2 separate regions of the Mus musculus genome follow, and region 1 is reported to be linked to region 2. The links are microRNA targets in miRTarBase. Many come from high-throughput screens and were not tested one by one. Region 2 holds a microRNA gene; the other region holds the end of a gene's coding sequence.
The links. The annotated mature microRNA mmu-miR-1896 reads CUCUCUGAUGGUGGGUGAGGAG and lies in region 2 at 1,700-1,721, shown strand. An mRNA with a match to its seed (bases 2 to 7 or 8) in the 3' UTR can be bound and repressed. Matches are read on the target gene's strand: a 7mer-m8 pairs with bases 2 to 8, a 7mer-A1 pairs with bases 2 to 7 and ends in A, and an 8mer does both.

Region 1: miRTarBase lists Ddx11 as a target of mmu-miR-1896. Seed matches in the 3' UTR shown: 7mer-A1 at 1,658-1,664 and 7mer-A1 at 1,479-1,485.

Annotation. Positions count from the first base shown.
Region 1 is chr17:66,150,416-66,153,510 of GRCm38, reverse strand. It overlaps Ddx11 (DEAD/H box helicase 11), which reads right to left. Exons shown (of 27, transcript NM_001348292.1): 26 at 2,783-2,937; 27 at 1,337-2,708. The coding sequence ends at 2,673. Among named protein-coding and RNA genes, the nearest start is that of Ddx11, 28 kb to the right of the region's middle.
Region 2 is chr13:21,443,510-21,446,604 of GRCm38, forward strand. Mir1896 (microRNA 1896) reads left to right here and starts at 1,651; the gene lies at 1,651-1,731. It overlaps Zscan26 (zinc finger and SCAN domain containing 26), which reads right to left. Exons shown (of 6, transcript NM_001347491.1): 6 at 1-2,320. The coding sequence ends at 1,422. It overlaps 4930470G03Rik (RIKEN cDNA 4930470G03 gene), which reads left to right. Exons shown (of 4, transcript NR_151504.1): 3 at 562-684; 4 at 1,413-3,095.

The DNA.
Region 1 (3,095 bases), not on the chromosome of region 2:
ATTCACTCATTCATTCATTCATCCATACATTCTCTCTCTCTCTCCCCCTCTCGCTCATGCCTCCACCCTCCCTCTGTCAGAGAAGATGATTAATGGTCCTAGAATGTGATCAGGTTCTCCTGCCCGTGTTCCTGGTTTCCAAAGTCATGAAATTTGTTGTTCTGCCTCCCATAGCAGGATGTTTTTGGATTCAGGTCTCTGAGCTCAATGCCCTATTTCCTGGCAGTCACAGAAACTTTGCCAGACTGCTGCCTCCCAGAGCACCCAGCCTGCACTGCACTATGCTGAGCTCTGCTGCCCTCTGGTGGTCATGGGTTCTTTCCTTCGCTGGGATCCCCACTCTGCAGCAGGGCATTGCTTTCTCCTTATCAACTCCAACATCCAGATGATCCTGTCTGAGTGATCCACAGACTTCATTAGATCCACTGGGGTCCCTCTGCTCTTTGGAAACACCCTGGAAGAATTCCTAAGTGATCTTCACGTATCACTGGAACCTGAGAGGTTGGAAAAGCTGGCAGGCCTCGGCCAAGCAGCCTAGGCTTGTCCTGCAGATGACCCTCTCTAGGCACGAGGAGTCTCCAGGTTTCCAGCAAGGGCAGAAACCGTGTGGTAGGGCCTCCTTGTGTACACAGAGAAAGATATCCAGGCCAAGCCTTCCACTGTGCTTAGGGCATGAGCACAGTAGTAGTGAGATCAGTTTCTGGGAATCCTTTAACCTGGGTCCAGGTTGAGTTCCCATAGAGGACTACATAGAGCAACTTCAGGAAGGAGGACTGGGTTGGACTGAAGATAAGGGGAGGAGCCCTGCACTGAAATGCTGTCTCCCAGCACTTGGCTGATCAGTGAGTGGGAGGGAGTGGATGACATGGAGTGGATGCGTGTTTAGCACTTGGCTGATCAGTGAGTGGGAGGGAGTGGATGCGTGTTTAGGGCTGGGCTGGGCACTTTGACCTTTATGTTTTGGTATGAACACGGATACCCAGACACATACCCTGGCTGTCATGTTAAAAGAAGAGTTCTCCATAAAGAGCTCATGTACATGTGTCCTGCAGCTTCCAAGGGAGGCCAAACAAGCATTTTTGAGGAGCAGTGTGCATACTAAGTAGTCCAGGTTCAACTCAGTGGCTTGATGGAGGTCACACAAAAAATGAGGTCTCTGGATCCCTCCATTCTGCAGCCTTCTATCCCCTTTGATCCCCTGAACCAATTATTCCTCCCACTGCATCTCCCCAATGCTCCTTTATATAGCTGACACTGCATGCTGTCTCTAGACAGATGTCTCTTACCATAACATTGTCAACTGCATTTAGAAGGATTCTCATACTTGATCATGAAGTTCATGTAGGTTCAGTTGTTCTTTTAATCGGCCATGACACATGGATGACATTCCTAGGATGTAAGCCTAGGAACTCTGCTATAACAGGTAACAGATGAGTGGATTCCCAGTGACAACCCTTCAAGGTTTACAGAGGCTGCCATTCTCTGGGTCCTCCTATGATGGGGACTTCTAGCTGCACTTTAGTGTATGCTAAAGCCCTACACTAGTGACAAAAAAATCTGTCCCTACCTCCCTACAGGAGTCCTGTCTCTAAACACTATCCCTCAGGTATGAGGCCTTACCATTTGTTTGTTTGTTTGTTTGTTTTCAAGACAGGGTTTCTCTGTATAGCCTTGGCTGCCCTGGAACTCACTTTGTAGACCAGGCTGGCCTCGAACTCAGAAATTCACCTGCCTCTGCTTCCCAAGTGCTGGGATTAAAGGCGTGGGCCACCACTGCTTGGAGAAGCCTTACCATTTCAATCTGAGGAAGATTCAAGAATGGAATTCTTTTGAGCTGTAAGCGGCACAAGAACTGTGAAAAAGAAGTCCTCTTCTATGGCTCCTCTCAGTTTGCAAGCAGTATGCAACCAGTGTATTGCCTAAATGGCAAGGGCACTGCCCCTGAGGTTGCTGAAGCTCACACAAGGGACAGCCACAGTTGAATATAAAGGAGCTGGACTCTTAACTGGGGTTCTCCTTCATGGGACAGCAGAAAAAAATGAAAAACACGGAGACACTTTTGCCCAATGACATGTCTTCAGGTAGATGTTCTGAGCACAGAGTCCTGAACAGCCATGGACAGGATCAATGCCTCTTAGTTTATGAGGAAAAGTAGAAGGAGAAAAAATTGTGGGACACAGAAAGGTCTATGGCCAGGGTCCAAGTCTTTGTGATGGTCCTTCAGAAAAGTCAAAATTCATGTCAGCTCTTTCAATATTATGTATGTCCTAGTTTTTTCTCAAAACTCTCTTCTGCACAGATGGTGTGTGTGTCATACTGCAGTGGGTCAGGCAATGATGCTTGAAACGGGGACATCGGTGCCTGAGATGGGAGTCAAAGGCCAAGAAAAGCTAACTGTCTCCAGAAAGGGCAGAGGCAGGTGGGTCTCACCTCAGAACAGGCAGAAAGCTGCTGCTAGCACAGCCTCCTGAAGCCAGGCGGAAAGTTGAACCTGAGCAGGGAATAAGGTGTCTCGGGCCAGGTTCCTTCAGGATGTTCTGCTGGCTTTTCTATGCAAGTTGAACACTAGAGTCCACTGCCTCTGGAAGGCTGGGGTACACTTGGCAGTCTGCATATGGTTTCTATCTTCTTAGGCCAAATACAAAGGCCAGGTCAAGCAGGGTATGAGACGCTTATACCAGACTTGGGTGTGACTTCTCTCGATGAAACTGCAGAGAGAAAAAGGCTGTGAGAAGCCCCATTTCAAGCCAGGGAGGTCTGGGGCACAGGGACAAAACCTAACCTTCCGCACAGCAGCAAATGCAGGCCCAAAGGTAGCTTTGACCTCCACTCGGTCTCGTATCCAGGCTGGCAGCTTCGCCAGAATAGAAGGACGCGCATACCGGTGATCCAGGAGCACAATGCTGGCAAAGTCCCTCTGGTGCCTAATGGCCCTGCCTGGGTAGATGCACAAGTCGAGACTCTTGAGTTCAACTCACCTACCAATACTGCATGTGCATAGGGGACTCCTCCTTCACTGACCCCTCAAATGGACAATACAGTACTAACATCCCTCCCGCCTCAAAACATCCATCTGCACCCAGCAGCAGCCCCAC
Region 2 (3,095 bases):
TCAATATGACCTGATGGCCATGATCTCTCCGAGCTGATTTGATTTGCATGGTCAAAATAATATCAAAACAAGTAGCATTTAAATTTGCATCATTGGTATCAAAGGGGGAAAACCCCATTTCCCCCCATGGGACATTCATGAAAAAAGGTGTCCTTCAAGCAGTCACTGTACTGGCACTGTTGCTGCCCAGTAAGGAGGTCGCTGCTTAGAATACTTCAACACAGTTCACTCAAATGACTCAAAGTCTCTTGCATAGTTTAGGTAAAACTTTGATTTATAATTTGAAACACTGTGATACTGTGGTTAAAATGGGCAGGAAATGTAAAATGACATGAGCTAATCCTAAGGGTAGGTTCTATAGTTAAACAGCAAAAGCTTTCAGAAATGCATTCATTGATGGTACAAAGGTAAAGTGGATATGAAGCCAGTGTTTGTGTGAACCTAACAGGGAAAATGTTCAGTTAACCTACGTTAGACCCTTGAGGATGTGTATTTCTAAGCATTATTAGATTTATTTTGGGCTTAAAAATATTTTACCAGTTGTGTGTGTGTGTCCACCAGTTTCTGTGGACCACTGTGTACAGAAGCCTGAGAAGGCTAGCAGATCCCCAGAACTGGAACTGTGAGACGCTGTGCTATGGAGGTGCTAGGAACTGAAAATGGATGGGTCCTCTGCAAGAGCAGGTATGTTAACTGCTAACTCTAGCTCCTTAGGATTTGTCTTTTCACATGTATGATGTTTGCAGGTATGGCTCTACATACGTATGGACACATGTGCACTTAGATTATCATCAGGAGTCTTCCTCAAGAACTCCACCGACTGCTCTCCAAACTCCCTCCCCTGAGTCCAAAGTTTGCTGATACAGCTAGTCTGGCTAGCCAGCTTGCTAGAAAGATCCCATTTTTGCCACCTGAGGGGTGGGACCACAGGCCACAGGCTGGCCACATACTCATTTGACTTTACATGGGTGCTGGGGATCCAAAACAGTCCTTCCACTTGCATAGCAACTTGGTTAAACCACTGAGCATATCCCCAACCCTCATTAATTTTATGTTTTAGGAGCCTGTTGCTACAGTACTTACAAAAATATCAGCTTGATCTTGTCCTGTATAAATCTATAGGCACTTGACTTACTGATTTCAAACACTTCATTCACACATAAAGCTAATACTTAAGAGATACATAATCAAGTACTTATCACACTGAAAGCTCTGAGAAGCTCTGTAGTGAATATTTGTTTAACTCTGATTCTGCTATTCTGGTAAATTATTATAGTCTAATTATGACTTTAAGTAAAGCCAAGAGAGGGACACAACGGAGGCAAATGGCTTCCAAGAATCCTGAAGCCGTCGTGAGTTCTTTCAAAAGGCGCTGTTTGCTTATCAATGTAACATTTCCATGTTTCAAACAGAGAACCTCATCAAGCCAGTTTGCTTTTATGGTGATGTCTCTGATGCTGAAAGAGACCAGACTTCTGCCTGAAGGCTTCATTGCATTCACTGCACTTGTAGGGTTTTTCTTCATTGTGGATTCTAACATGCTGATCTAAGTGTGAATTTAGGCGGAAAGCTTTCTGACACACATTACATTTGAAAGGTTTTTCTCCAGTGTGAATCCTATGATGTCGAATAAGGTCGGAGGTCAAGCTGAAGGCTTTCCCACACTCATTACAGTGATGTCTTTTGGAACGACCATGGACTCTCTGATGGTGGGTGAGGAGGAGGGCCCGACTAAAGGTTTTCCCACACTCCTTGCATTCTCGGGGCTCATCCTGACTGTGAATTTTTTGGTGTCGATTAAGATGAGAGCTTCGCCTGAAGTTCTTTCCACAATGGATACACAGATAGGGTTTTTCTCCAGTATGGATCCTGAGATGCTCCAAAAGACCTGCATTCTGGCTAAAGACTTTTCCACACTCTTTGCACTGGTAAGGCTTCTCCCCAAGATGGATTTTCTGATGTCTGATGAGGTGTGAACTTCTCTGAAAGACTTTCCCACACTCTTGGCAGGGATGACCTTTGTCTTTAGAGATTTCCTGATGGTCAGCAGCAACAGAACTCTGAGATCCTACAGATTCCCAGGACATTTCTCCTGTATGTGCCCTGTCATGTTCAATCAGGCCTGAGTTCTGAACAAGTCTCTCCTTAGTTTCCAAGCATTGGCTGTTAGTTTTTTCCTTGGGCATGGCTGGATTCTTTTTCAAGCTCAGGTCCTCACACTGGGCCTCAATGGGTTCAGTCATGGTACAAGATGATTCCATTCTTCCACAAGAGTCTGTCCCTGCAATGAGATTCCCATTCTCACTCCTTGTCTCTTTACCTGAAATAGTAAATATATATATCACTAATTATTTTATTTTTGGTGTTCAGGGAAAGGAATCTGCAAATAGCAGGAAATACTTAAATAAAGCCATGTGTATAAATGTAAAAACATGTTATGTGTGTTTTATTTGCATGTATGCATGTACACAACATGCATGCAGTGCCAAGGAAACCGTAAGAGGCTGTCCAGTTCCCGGAAACTGGAGTTACAGAATGTTGTGAGCTGCAATGTAGTTGACAGGAACTGAAACCAGATCCTCTGTAAAAGTTTTCTTAAGAGATGAGATCGCTTCAATCCTCACAAAGTAAAAAAACAACAACAAAATTTTGCTCATGATTATTTTATATATATATAAAGAGTGATTTACAAGAAACTGTGGTTTTGTTTGTTTTTTTTGAGGTAAGTTTTCACTATGCAGAATAACATGGCCTAACCTAATCCTCTCCTCTCAGGTCCCACAGTTACAGCACCACCACGTCCAGCCTGACATCTGGGAAAGTGTTAACCAGATTGGCTTTGGGGAAGGGCAGGGGTTGTGGTGGGAGGTGATTTATTTTAAATGTTCTATATTTTATTATGTGACATATGTTACACACACAGAAGCTACTAAGCATGACTGCATATTCTTGATCATGATTTGTCACCTGGGAAACAAAAAAGCACCATAAATCAGGTCACCCGAGGACCATCAAGTTAAGCAGGGAAGGTACTTTGACAAATGAAGATGAGTTGACATGGTGCCAATTTTATCACTGAGTAGTATGTAATCTTG